Mytilus edulis: one gene and its partner. The protein of the gene in region 1 interacts with the protein of each later gene in a pairwise test. Links are inferred from orthologs where the notes say so. Each region holds a gene or a part of one and is shown on either strand. Other genes may lie near its edges.

The links.
Region 2: the proteins of intraflagellar transport protein 140 homolog (region 1) and intraflagellar transport protein 20 homolog B-like interact in a protein complementation assay, tested with the Caenorhabditis elegans proteins (2 studies listed by BioGRID). The link is inferred for Mytilus edulis from reciprocal best matches to the Caenorhabditis elegans genes che-11 and ift-20.

The regions. Positions count from the first base shown.
Region 1 is NC_092352.1:66,726,869-66,734,703, forward strand, and holds the start of intraflagellar transport protein 140 homolog, read left to right. Parts: upstream 1-4,605; 5' UTR 4,606-4,699; intron 4,700-6,950; coding exon of another isoform or gene 6,951-7,172; intron 7,173-7,336; coding exon of another isoform or gene 7,337-7,501; intron 7,502-7,835. Other genes in the region: uncharacterized protein, read left to right, coding at 1,879-2,622; uncharacterized protein, read right to left, coding at 6,951-7,172, 7,337-7,501.
Region 2 is NC_092349.1:35,083,926-35,091,311, reverse strand, and holds the start of intraflagellar transport protein 20 homolog B-like, read right to left. Parts: upstream 3,176-7,386; 5' UTR 3,126-3,175; coding exon 2,999-3,125; intron 2,006-2,998; coding exon 1,920-2,005; intron 287-1,919; coding exon 183-286; intron 1-182. Other genes in the region: BTB/POZ domain-containing adapter for CUL3-mediated RhoA degradation protein 3-like, read left to right, coding at 3,656-3,833, 5,669-5,928. UniProt on the Caenorhabditis elegans protein: Component of the intraflagellar transport (IFT) complex B required for transport of proteins in the motile cilium. Required for ciliary entrance and transport of specific ciliary cargo proteins such as che-3 which are related to motility.

The DNA of each region.
Region 1 (7,835 bases):
GACACACTAGACACTAACTGTGAAATAGGATGGACAAAGATACAACTGAAAGGCTGTAAAGCCCTCTACACTGGCTGTTATTATCGTAAACCAGATAATGATCCTACACCATTACAGAACTTGAATACTTCAATTAGTAGATTAACGCATAATAATACTCTGCCTAACATAATACTTACTGGAGACTTCAATTTACCAGATATTGATTGGGATGAAGAAGACTCAAATGGAGGATACACCATCAAATCAAGCCATAACTATTCCAACGAAATAAACAAACTAGCATTAGACATTGTTGAGGAACACTGCTTGCAACAATGTGTCACAGAACCAACCAGGGAAAAGAACATTCTAGATCTTGTTCTCACAACTAATGAAAATCTGGTACAGAAAATGAGCATTACTGATGGAATGAGTGATCATCAGATGATAATTACAACTGTCAATGCAAGACCAAAGGTAATTAAGAACAAGCCCAGAAAAGTCTATCAATATAAGAAGGGAAATATGGAAAAAGTTCAAGAATATTTGAACAGCAAATATGAAAATTTCAAGGAGAAGATAACAGAAATGAACATCGAAGAGTACTGGACTCTATTTAAAACTCACCTTTTTCAAGCAATGGACCTACATATACCATCCAAAAATCTGACATCGAGATTTAACCTACCTTGGGTGAACCAACACATCAAGAAGATGATACGTAAAAAAGAACGACTATATAAAGTTGCAAAGAAATACCAAACTAAAGAGCACTGGGATAAATTCAAGCAATATAGAAAAGCAGTAAAGACAGAACTTGGTATATCACATAAGAAGTATATATTTGATATGTTAGAAGTAAGTCCATCAACATCAGAAGCTTCAACAAACACACAAGACCAATACAGAATAGGGAAAAAATACTGGAAATACATCAAATCTAAAAAGAGAGAAACAGTGGGAGTATCAACACTCAAAGTTAATGGAGAAATATTAGACAACAGCAAAGGAAAAGCAGAAGCACTTAATGCACAATTTCAATCAGTGTTCACGATTGAAGACTTTCAAAGCTTCCCTAAGATAACTGAAAATGAAACATCAAAAATACCAAGTCTACACATTAGTACAGAAGGGTTAATCAAACTATTAAAGGGAGTGAACCCAAGCAAGGCAAATGGTCCAGACAATATATCGTGCAGAATATTGAAAGAGTGTGCAGAGTCAATATCACCATACTTACAGTTAATCTTCACCAAAACATTAAAAGATCAAAGCGTACCACAAGACTGGCTTATTGCAAATGTCATCGCACTATTCAAGAAAGGGGATAAGAGTCAACCAGTCAACTATCGACCAGTATCCTTGACATCAGTTCCATGTAAAATAATGGAACATATTATATTTAAACACATAATGAACCATCTTGAGAAGTATAATATACTTGTGGACTTCCAGCATGGCTTCAGAAGCAAAAGATCGTGTGAGTCACAACTAGTCATAACAGCAGAGGATATAACCAGAAATCTGGACAATAACCAACAGGTAGATATGCTAATATTAGACTTTAGTAAAGCATTCGACACAGTACCACACCAGCGATTGTTGAAGAAACTAGCATCATATGGTATCGATGGAAACATACTTGCATGGTTAGAAGCTTGGCTGACACAAAGAGAACAACAAGTCACACTGGAAGGAGAAAGATCAAGTACTGCTAAAGTAACATCTGGCGTACCATAGGGAACAGTGTTAGGACCATTGCTGTTTCTCCTATACATAAACGACATCGGGAATGACATAACATCAAAAATTCGCCTGTTTGCAGATGATAGCCTACTCTACCTAGCAATCTCGTCAAAGGATGACTGCAAACATCTACAAGAAGATCTCGACAAAATGGTAAAATGGACAAAAATTTGGCAAATGATATTCAATCCTTCAAAATGCTATGTCCTTACAATAACCAAAAAAAGGAAAACCATCAACTTCAACTACAACATCAATGGTCATATCCTGGAATCAGTTGCATCAAACCCATACCTAGGAGCTGAACTCACCAACACCATGTCATGGGACAAACAAGTTAACAAAGTTGTCACCAAAGGAAATAAAGCACTAGGCTTCATACGAAGAAATGTTGGATCATGTCCAGAGGCAGTTAAAAAACAAGCCTATCTTGTCCTTGTCCGACCGCACCTTGAATACGCTTGCAGCGCATGGGACCCTCACCTACAAAAACATATTTATCAGATTGAGATGGTCCAACGCCGTGCAGCACGCTTTATCAAAAGCAATTATTCAAGGGAGCCTGGAACAGTAACAACTCTTCTAGAAGAATTAAATCTAACACCACTAGAAATAAGAAGAAAAGTAGCACGTATAACACTCTTTCATAAAGCCATCCATGAAAGAGTTGCTATACCTATTCCAACGCACATTATAAAACCAAGAAGAACGTCGAGACTCCACCAACCGAACACTAAAAGATATGTACAAATCAGGCCAAACAAAGATATCTACAAATACAGCTTTTTCCCTAGGACCATCAGAGACTGGAATAAACTACCAGATGAACTATTAGAGATCGTGAGCAGTGAGGAATTCAAGACCAAACTCACCAAGCTCCTCTGTAGATGCTAGCAACACAGACAGTCGATACTGGTAGAAAATGTTTTTAACCTGCACCTGTATATAAATTTTTAGCACAATTTTGGAACCATTGTTTGTAAATATAGAAGTTTATTGTCATGTTGGAGGACGTCAAAAGTTAAAACTATACTTGAGTGATGGGTCGAAGTACCCTTTTCAAGTGACGACATAGCTCCGCTATGTCGTAGATGTAGATGTAGATGTAGATGTATTTCGATGGTAACAGGAACGTACGTTTCTGATATATCACTATACAAAAGTCTATCCTGTTACCTTCAGTTTTTGTCTATCCTGTTACCGATAACAGTATTGCACCTGCGAATGCTTAATTGGGAATATTAAGACGTTATAACCTTAAGATGAGTTCAAACAACGAAATATTTCATTCGTTTTGCACCTATATATTAAGATAAAAAAATTAACGCCGTGTTTGTCTACAATTGTCTATCCTGTTACTGTAACCATAGCAACCATAGTAACAGGATAGACAAATTTCTTTGTTTTTGATTGCTGTTGTGAAATAATTACTCCCTTTGGTGAAGTGATTATGTTTTTGTATTGTGAATTTGATTTCCAGCACGTTATTGCACTTTTTACAAGTATACTGTTGGTGTAATTAATCAAAATTGGTGGTAACAGCATTGACATGAAAAAAAGTACGCTCTATTTTTTTCACTTAATGTCTTGAAATTTCTTTTCTCTACAATGTCGTTCAAGAAACGAGGCGTTTTAAATGTAAAGATTACTTTGCACTTTTGAGATCAACACTGACTGATTCAATATTCATAGGGAGAATAATTTAACGGCTGATTTAAGTAGCGGTAACAGGAAAGACATGAACCTCCTGTAAGCTGATTCAATTTAGTTTGTAGATAATATGTTACATACAATGATAAAGAAGCTACAATTTTTCGTTAGAGTAATATTTAACGATCTTAAAAAGTCCCTTTTGCAGATATCAATGCGATCAGAAAATCGCAAAAAAATCATTTCAAATGTGTTTTTCTGACAATGTACGCACACAAATACCCCCGAAATCGGTCTTAAATGCAGTTTAATCTTATCAAAATAGATGTAAGGTGTGTTTATTATTAATGTTCTGAATCACAAATCCGACAAGCTTTCATTTAAACCATTACAACTGAAATTTCCATTAGAAATGAAAAAAATTAGCATGGGTGTACTGAAAATTCGACATTTTTTTTTAAATGATGCGAGATTTCCTCACGGGAGAAAGGAAGAAAGACCATTCACAATATGCCTTACATTTGTTTTTTTTCCTCTTTTAATTAAATTTAAACTTTCTAATTTAGAGTTTATTAGATACAAATATTCCCTGTGTAGGAACCCCCCCCCCCCCTCTTTCCTCCCTTTTTTCTTAGTTACCATCACTGAGATCCAAATTATTGACAGTCAGCTATATATATAGTTCCCAAATGTATCAAAATCACAGTACTCGATTTTTCGGTACTGACATGATTTATAACGCAATTGTCTTTAAAATAATTGTCTGTTGATGAATTTAGAAAGTATCAAAAACTAAGGTTCACGATACACTTCCCGGCAAATGTGACCGGCGGCTGTATCTAGATAGATTTGGAGTAACCGTTTAGATCCCTTTTGTCAAATATATGCAGCTCGTTACATATTCAAGAACTTAAGCTATAAATATTTTGATTTCACCTTTTTCGATCATTGAACGTTTATGTTGAAGGAATAACCGAATGGACTGAATATATATATATATACCGTCTTAGATAAGGTTTTTCAGAAAGCTAATGCTTGTTATGTGATCCGGTATCAGTATAAAATTCGGGATACAGAAGAATTTTTTTATCATTATTTGTTATTTTAAGAAAATTATTGCTAATAACACAAAAAAACATCAAATTTCAAATAATTTACGAATTTTTATAGTTTTATTTGAATAGAAAAAAGTTTGTTTAGATTTGTTTACGCTTTTTAACAAGTCCCACAATGCATTGCTGAAATATTTTTCAAAATGGAGCACATAGTTGAATTTCCTATGAAATAGCATCACAGTATCCAGGGAAACAACATCTTTCTTGTATGATTGTATACGATCAGCCTCAAAAACTTTAAAGATCTACATATGAGTCTACATTTTCACTGGTTTTTATAATTTTAAATCCGCCGAATCTGATCAAAATATTGTGTAAACATGTCGCAAAAAAAAGGGGGGACGAAATTCTTCGTTACATGTTAGCATTTGCAAAATTTTCTCGATTAAATTTTTGTAGGCTTTTGATAACAAATGTTTTCAACAACAGAATGGGCATGGTACAAAAGACAGAACGATCTTTAGTACTTTACAAGTGGAACAAGATACATTTTGAATGACAAAAGTTTATTTTTTCCATTTTCTACCATTTTTGGAGTGGTAAAAAAAAACAATGAGACAACACTCCATCCAAGTAGCAATTAATAAAAGTAAACCATTATAGGTCAAGGTACTTAGGGTTCTCACTTAGGATTTTTTTTAAGTCCAGGGACTCGTCATTTTTGGCCATGGTCACAAAACAATGATCATCAGTCAGAGCACTCAGGCAGAGCTCAGACATAAACAAGTCGATTTTTGTTTTTGACTTAAAGAAGTTGAAACATGTATTTATTATAAAAATGTGTTTTCAATTTTAGACTTATCTTAGTCAGAAAATGACAGACTTGTTTAGGTCTATTTATTGTGATTAAAAAACTTAACTATAATTTTACTTGGTGGCCAAAGTACACCACCTGTGACAGCAAAAACCCGTCTGAGAGTTCTCAAGGACTTGAGCTATCTATATTTAATTATCTAATTGAACATCCTTACTAAACACAGATGTTTTACCGCATTAAGTGTGGTTCCAGGTGGTTGCATTGTATGGTTAATTAACATTATCTCCGATTTTTTAGACTCTCATTCATATTTTTCTTTAGAAGACAAAGCATTGTCTTTTAATGTTGTCATTATTTGATTTCGATGCATGACCTTTTTATAAATATGCGTGGGTCTTGAAGTTAACCAATTTTGATAACTTATCGACTTGTCAATGCTTGTAGGAGTCGATATTTGCAACTTTTTGATTCTGGTCAATTATTTCTTGCTTAACAATATTGACTTATTAAGGTCGTATTTTGTCTTGCATTAAAGGGAGAAAAATCCTAAAACTAAAAAATTTAGACCTCTATGAGTCAAAAGCAGATTCAGACTTATTTATGTCTGAGCTCTGACTGATGGTGAGTTCAACCGTCAGAAGAAAATATTTTACTAAAATTTAATTTATCATTTTAGTCTCCATGACCTGATAGTGCAATGAAACTTTTGCTATAAAATGATGATATATGTGTTCAGTTTATACAAAATATATCAATTTTGCTGCTTCTTTGGACTTGTGTTTGAAAATGGTGATACCGTATGGCCTTCATCACGAATTCTAGACAGTTCGGCACCCAGACAAATCGGTACCCGGACAAATCGGCACCTACCAAAGACAAATCGGCACCCGTGAAAGACAAATCGGCACCCAGACAAATCGGCACTTAGACAAATCGGCACCTCACATAGACAAATCGGCACCTTATAAATTATTTATCTTTGATCTATATATAGTGAACCAAAAATTATGTTTGAGTGTTATTTATTTGTCTCCTGCACTATTTATAACATTATTGTCAATATTGGACATTGTTTCTTTGAATATGTATCTTATTAAGTGGTTTATTCCTTTTAGTTATTTGTTCGGCACCCAGACAAATCTTTGAATATGTATCTTATTAAGTGGTATATTCCTTTTAGTTATTTGTTTGTGCACAGGACTGTACTGCAGCTTAGTCGTTTTGATAGGTGTATTATTTGTGTGAATTCTTTTTTCTGACTTTATAGATTTCACCACACATGTACTTGGAATGTGCATGTACTAGTTTTAATGTAATCCATAATTCTGTTACCATTGTATCCAAAATCAATAAAACACATGTAGAATATTAATAATATTTATTTATTATATCTATTATATATTATATTCAACAGTTTATGCATACATGTAATAAATGTAATAAATAATAAATAATAATAAATAATAATAAATAAGCTGTATTTAGAGTCTGCAAAGTATATTTTTAACCGACAAACAAAACATTTTTAACAATACAACACATAATACACAGCACAAAATGAAGCACTAAAAGCATGGTTCATGGTTGTAATAAACATGATAAACTAGGTCAAAAGCATACTATAGGTATGAACACAAAGGTTAAATACTGAAATCATAACATAACATATAGACAAGCACTATAAGTCTTAACACTCAAAGTCACTTTGGTGGTGGTCCGTAAACACTGGCACACTCCTTAAGGAGTCTAGACGCGGAGATGCTGTTGTTGCAATACTCGTCCCACAAAGCAAAAAGACGGCCCTGGGTCTGTCTACTCTGTTTGCGCTGGTACCTTTGGAGCTTGCCTTCAGACACTAACTTAAGCACCCGGATATATAAACGTGTATATTCTAATTTCATGCGTGAGAGAGACGATAACAACTAAGGCAATAAAACATAATCAATTACAAAAGAACAATACAAAAAAGGCATCTAGCTGTTGTTTCGGTCTTTTGAAAAAAAGTTATACAGCTGTCCGCTTACAAATCTTATTGAGCGTTCTTGATGGAATCAATTTCATTAATATGTATAGATAACAAACATACCTCTTTCTTTATCATGACAGCTATCACAGACCCTGGTTCTGCTGGGTGGACATGCTCTTTCATACCGGGTTTGAAGTTGTCACCATCTTGAATAACAGTAGCAGGGCAGTTGATGGTCTTGTTACGCTTGGTGCAGCGCCAGAGGATGTGGTCATTCTTCTGTTTCTGCAATCAAAAATAAAAATATATAGGTCTTTTTTATAATTGTAAAAGTTAATAATAGCAGATACTCTCTTACAGCCGACTATATATAAATGTGTATATATCCAATAAAAATTATACTTGCTGTGTTTTATATTAATTTTCTATTGTATAAAATTTTGATATTGTATAAATGTGTGATTTGGTGCTAATCTCTTATAGCCGACTATGCAGTATAGGATATGTTAATTGTTGAAGGCCGTAAAATGACCCAAAGTTGTTATGCTATTTGGCCTATAGTGTCTCATTGGTAACCATACCTCACTTCCACATTTAATTTTATGTTAAAATTATCTGA
Region 2 (7,386 bases), on another chromosome or scaffold:
CTTTTTTATGTTGGTGTAAGAATTTCACATCATGAACTAACACACATTATGTAGCTGATAGTTTTACTAATTAAAATAGAGAGGCAAATATCCTTCACTTTTTTATGTTTTGTTTTTTGACATGATCAAATAATAATAATAAAAGGACAATATTTTGTGTCTGCAAATTTGCAAATATTTACCTCTCTAATTGCATTTTCTTTTCTGTGATTAAAGCATGCAGCTGTTGTTGTTGTGCTTCTCTTTGTTTTGCTATAGATTTTAATAAATTTCTAGATCCTATTGCCTGAAATATACAAATAATAAATTACATAAGAATTTTAAAAAAAAGGTATAAGTCCATTGATGTGCTGTGGCAAAACTTCATGTCAAAGTTTAATTATTCTATGGACTGTATATTGACATCTTGTATTCATCAGTTTATGCATTAAATTAAGTCTTTATGAGAATTTTTTTTTTTAGTAAGCCCAAACATCAGTCTCCAGTACACGTATTTATTTATTTTCATGGGTAGCAATATTAATTTTAGTGTTTTATAGATGAATTATACTGCATTGAATATATAAATTTGTGGTTTGCTTCTCCTCAAGAAATCAACTAAAATTGGTACTCAATGAAAAATAATTCAGTATCATAAAATTTCTTAAAATTAAAATGGCATCATTTTGAATGGCCTCTGTCTAAACAGTTATCAAAGGTACCAGGATTATAATTTAGTATGCCAGACGCGCGTTTCGTCTACATAAGACTCATCAGTGACGCTCAAATCAAAAATATTTATAAACCCAAACTAGTACAAAGTTGAAGAGCATTGAGGATCCAAAATTCCAAAAAGTTGTGCCAAATACGGCTAAGGTAATCTATGCCTGGGATAAGAAACTCCTTAGTTTTTCAAAAAGTTCAAAGTTTTTTATACAGGAAATTTATGAAAATGACCACATTATTGATATTCATGTCAACACCGAAATGTTGACTACTGGGCTGGTGATACCCTCGGGGACGAAACGTCCACCAGCAGTGGCATCGACCCAGTGGTGTAAACAGTTATCAAAGGTACCAGGATTATAATTTAGTATGCCAGACGCGCGTTTCGTCTACATAAGACTCATCAGTGACGCTCAAATCAAAAATATTTATAAACCCAAACTAGTACAAAGTTGAAGAGCATTGAGGATCCAAAATTCCAAAAAGTTGTGCCAAATACGGCTAAGGTAATCTATGCTTGGGATAAGAAAATCCTTAGTTTTTCAAAAAGTTCAAAGTTTTTTATACAGGAAATTTATGAAAATGACCACATTATTGATATTCTAAACCTGATCTACACATGATTATGAATATGATTAACAGCTATAAAAAAAATCCCATACTGATATATTTGTTTGAAATAATATAAAAAAATTAATTCAATGTATAACACATTTTAGCAGTTCATCTTTCTTTCTATTATATATATGCTGTTCAATATATTTAGCCCTGCTGCATAATTTGTGTGGGCCTGTACCAAGCATAAGTTAGTAGGCTGTTATAATGTATTTGATATTTGACATTGGTAGATGTCTGTTATGTTTGTTGTTTAACCAAAAGTCAGGTTATTTTCTCATTTGAACTGCTTTAAAGTTTTTCAATGTATTGGTCTTTTTAACTTACTATGCGGTATGGGTTTTTCTCATTGTTGAAGAACACACATTCACCTATATTCATTTTAGCATTTCCTCATTTTGTCTCTGCTAGTTGTCTCATATGCAAACATTTATCAAACATCTACTTATTTTACATCAAATATATGATGGAAAAGTGGGTTTTTTTACAAATGAAAAGAAAAATGTAGCAAAACAGTTTAGGAAATCCACCATCTTCTTTTATGGGTAGTAAAAATTAGTTATATTTACAATGTATTCTGAGTTGTGTTTAAAACCCACCTTCATCTTTTCTTTTTCTACTTCTTTGGAAACATTATCAACAACTTCTATAAAAGTTCCTACAATCTTCTGAAAATCTCCAATTTCTGCAAAGAAAGAGAAAAAAAAATGACAAGTGCTAAATAATATTTTCACATCTCTAGGCAGCTGGCTGAAAGGTGAGTCGTCATGCACTCTAATGAGTTTAAAAGATATATAAATATTTCCTTGCCATGTGAGTTTTCATGCTATTTATCATGTTAATATTAAATGTCATGTTAATGCTTATAAGTGACAAGAAGAAACAATGAAGGATAGTTAATACATGTATAATCAAATGATAAATTTTCTATAAATCTATTGTTTTGACATGTTTGATACAATAACAGTAAATAGTTTCTTGTCACAATTTTTTTCTTCTTGTTGCTTATCAATTTCTTCTTGTTGGTATTTATTGAGACCATATTATGGGGACAAAGTCCCCAAAAACAGTAGAAAAATCAATAAAAAAAAAATTTTAAAAATAAATTTTCATTGTACTAAGGACAATGAATGAACTCAAAATCGTTCAATTTTTTTGATGTCATGTTTTGAATTCCCGCATCTGCGCAGAAATCTACAATGTATTTCCTTTTTCCGGTCTCGTTTGTATGAAACTTTGAGTAAAATATATATTTATCAGTCTAGTACAAAATAGGAAGGAACGCAATACCAATTTCATTTTTAATAATTCCTTGATATGAAAAAACGTTACCTGATGATAGCGTTTCTTTGTTTACATTGCATATGACGTCATAACTTAAATAGCGTCACAACTAAAATCCCTAACAACAGAACCAACATCGAAAACGTTACGGTATTTCCGTTTCTTGTTTTTTAACAAATATTTAAGTTACAAAAAAATAATTCATACAGACTTCGTCCCCATTTACAGGTAATGCCTGCCTCATATTAAGAATGTATTGTGACCTCACAATTTCCATTTAAAAAGCATGCATAACACGAAAACATATGATCTAACCAAAAATAATTATTCAATACAAAAAAAATGAAATGGTTTAATCAGTATTACAATATTTCTCAGTTAGTATATGTCATACTTTCAACGAATTCTCTACATTCTTCTTTTAATTCTTGTGTTTGCTGTGCTACTTCGGGTTCAAGGACTCTAATTTTGTTAATTTCATCAAAGTGTAAACCAGCTCTTGAAAGAGCTTCGTCTGCCATCTTCAAACAGAATGGAATGTCAAGGAAGTTGTCCAATCAATTTTGTGCTTGAAAGAATAACGTAGCCACTGTTAAACAAAGCGCAAATAAAACCAAGATTTTTCAAATCAGCAGGTACTTGTTTACATTTACTGTTTCGTATAATACAAAATATTAAAACATAATAGAATTAATTTTGTATTTTAAGTAATATAATAAAAGATATGTTTGTAACTTCCAAACTTGAAAGGAAAAATTTAAACAGAGATTAAGTTGTTTTCATATGCATACGAAACCAACATTCTTTTAACTTTGCATATCACTCCCAAGACATTACGTCAACTTTCAGGCATTAAATAATTCTATATTTAGAAATTGGTATAAATACACTGTTTAAAATGTCAGTAAGACAAACATGTTCTTTCATTCAAGAAGGAAACATGTTGAATTATCATATTTCATAAAAAGGAAAACAATTATTACAACAATTGGACAAATTTTACCACAGAACAAACTGTATTAGTGAAGATTTTATAACAAATTTGTATTTAATGTCACTTACTATGTCTGGGGAGACAAAAACTGTGATAAAAGGAACATCGTCCAAGTATGTGAAGCTGAATGTTGGTGGATCCCTCCACTATACAACCATTGGGACATTAACCAAACAAGACACAATGCTGCGGGCAATGTTTAGTGGCAGAATGGAGGTTCTTACAGATTCAGAAGGTAAAAATCATGGTCAAATTCACTGTGATGACACAGATGATGCTATTAAACTCTTGTTCATTTAGCGTTAAATGTTGCATATATATTACAGTGTTATTATTCCTAATTGGTTAATAATAATATACATATAATTTGATATTTTCATTGCACTTTAATTCCACTTTGTTTAAATTGGAGTAAAAATATTGTAAATAATCCATGTATGCCAACAGCATGTAATCATCGGATGTCAACAGAAGAACTTAGAAGAAGACATGTACGTGAAATCAATGACGATGTTGGCATCTGTTTCTGATGATACTATGTACATGTATATCTAATGGGAAGCAGGACAAATCGCCCCACTCTTTTATAAACTGGCACCATTTTCTAAAATTGCCCCATTTGTGAAAAGGGTTAAATTTACTCCTGCCAACTCAGTTGGTAAACAAGAGTGGGGCGAGTTGGTGAAAAAGCAGGGCGATATGACATGGATTCATCTAATGTATACAGGTTTATACAGTCAATTGGTATAAGTTGGTGGTACACAGTCTTTTATTCGGATGTGTCTACTTTTGTGTTTCAAATGTCTGGTTATGTAAATGTATTTCAGTTGTTTCCTGTAATTAGTTAATACTTCAGCTTTATCATGTACATCTTTTGAATATTCATTTTATTAAATTTACTGTTTGCAAAAGTATAAATTACTCTAAATTATAGGGATTTTCTGGTAACTTAACGGAAAACCCTTGCCGTTTTTGGCACAACCTTTTTGATCTTTTGGTCCTCGATGCTGTTCAACTTTGTACTTGTTTCGGCTTTCAAACTTTTGTATCTGTGCGTCACACATAGGTCTTGTGTGGACAATATACACTTCTGGCGTATTAAAATTTTAAACTTGTTGCCTTTTGTTGGCTGTTGTTCGTGTGATTCTTTGTCAATTGTGTTCTCCAATTTATTTATATTGTAGTCCTGTGTTGTCATTTTGATGTTATATTTCATATGGCCATAAAAGTGCGAGGTTTGGCATGCCACAAAACCAGGTTCAACCCACCATTTTTTCCTTTAAAAATGCCCTGTACCAAGTCAGGAATATGGTCATTGTTATATTATAGTTCGTTTCTGTGTGTATTACATTATAACGTTGTGTCGTTTGTTTTCTCTTATTTTTGAGTGTAAATTCACATTGCGATAAGACGTGTCACGGTACTTGTCTATCCCAAATTCATGTATTTGGTTTTGATGTTATATATATATGTTATATTTGTTATTCTCGTGGGATTTTGTCTATATGTGTTACATTTTAGTGTTATGTCGTTGTTCTCCTCTTATATTTAATGCGTTTCCCTCGGTTTTAGTTTGTTATCCCGATTTTGTTTTTTGTCCATGGATTTATGAGTTTTGAACAGCGGTATACTACTGTTGCCTTTATTTACAATTGAGTCTTATAATTTTGTAGACTAAGAACAAGCATACAAGAGGGGGTATAGCACAGTAGCATCAATATACATGTGGTACTTCTGACAAGACTTGAGCTGCTGTTGAATTTGCTCCATTATGATTTAATAAAAATGATAAATGTCATAAGCATGATAATGAAACGGTTCTTTTTTTTTTTTAACTTTACCATGTTTATACTTACCATTGCCATGATTGCTTATCTTGGGAAATAAGTACATTAATTGATCATCAAGATCATGAAATACCCACTAATTTTAAATTTTAAATCTGTCCCTCATGATAAAATTTATACTTGAAAAACTAATAAACCTTACACATCTTATATGTTTACTTAGCTATATCCATAAAATTAGATTAGCATTATATATCTATATATCAAGTTGTGTCTATTTTAGGATGGATATTAATAGACAGGAGTGGAAGCCACTTTGGAGAAATCCTGAATTTCCTCCGAGATGGATCTGTACCATTACCAGAAACCAGAAAAGAATTGTTAGAACTTTTACAAGAGGCTAAATACTTCTTAGTTCAAGATTTAGTACGAATTATTGAAGCAGCTGTAAAACAGATGGAGGCTGCTGTTGATCCTATCTGCAAAGTACCTTTAATCACGTCAGGCAGAGAAGAACAACATTTAATCACAAATACACAGAAGGTATACAACATGTACAGTTATACAGTTATACTTGATATTATTAACTAGAGCATTTTTGTAGAGTAAAAAAGAAATGATTAACTGTACACAGAGGTTAAGTCATGTGTTCATCTGACTGTTTTGATGTCTTTTGGGCCTTACAATACATTAAATTCGTTTGGATGTGTTTTGATTGGTAATCTAGTCCTGGTAAACATGATCATAAATAAATGATACATGTATGTATCTAAAGTCAATAGAGAAGTTCAATAGATAAAATTGAGAATGGAAATGGGGAATGTGCCAAAGAGACAACAACCCGACCATAGAAAAAAAAAACAACAGCAGAAGGTCACCAACAGGTCTTCGATGTAGCGAGAAATTCATGCACCCGGAGGCGTCCTTCAACTGGCCCCTAAACAAATATATACTAGTTCAGTGATAATGAACGCCATACTAATTTCCAAATTGTACACAAGAAACTAAAATAAAAATAATACAAGACTAACAAAGGCCAGAGGCTCCTGACTTGGGACAGGCGCAAAAATGCAGCGGGGTTAAACATGTTTGTGAGATCTCAACCCTCTCCTATACCTCTAGCCAATGTAGAAAAGTAAACGCATAACAATACACACATTAAAATTCAGTTCAAGAGAAGTCCGAGTCTGATGTCAGAAGATGTAACCAAAGAAAATAAACAAAATGACAATAATACATAAATAACAACAGACTACTAGCAGTTAACTGACATGCCAGCTCCAGACTTCCATTAAACTGACTGAAAGATTATGATTTCATCATATGAACATCAGGCACAATCCTTCCCGTTAGGGGTTTAGTATCATACCATCATAACATATATGAGAAGAACATAACCCGTGTCATGCCAACAACTGGTTTTTGAATAAATGTGTTTAGTTCCGATGCAAAGACCCTATAAGTGAATCAATATTAACGCCAAAATATGCAATCTTTAATGACCTGACAACAGTATCGTAACTATATCCCTTCTTAATAAGTCTATTCAAAGGTTTTGTTAGTTTTTGAGGTGAATACTGACACCTTTGTGCTTTATAAAGAATATTTCCATAAAATATCGGATGTGAAATACCTGAACGTATAAGAAGTCTGCATGTTGAGCTACATTTACGAATGATGTCCTTATACCGATGATAAAATTTAGTAAATGTTTTGACTAGTTTGTGATATCGAAAACCCTGGTGTAATAATTTTTCAGTAATACATAAATTTCTCTCGTTAAAATCTAAAACATTGTTACATACATGAGCGAATCGTACAAGTTGAGATATATAAACACCGTAAGATGGTGACAAGGGAACGTCACCATCTAAAAATGGATAATTAACGAGAGCATATCATTTATATACAATTTGAGAACATGTACATGAAAATTTTCTCATTTTGTATTGGCTGTCATTTTTTTACCTTATGACATGTATGAAGAAAAATTAATATTAC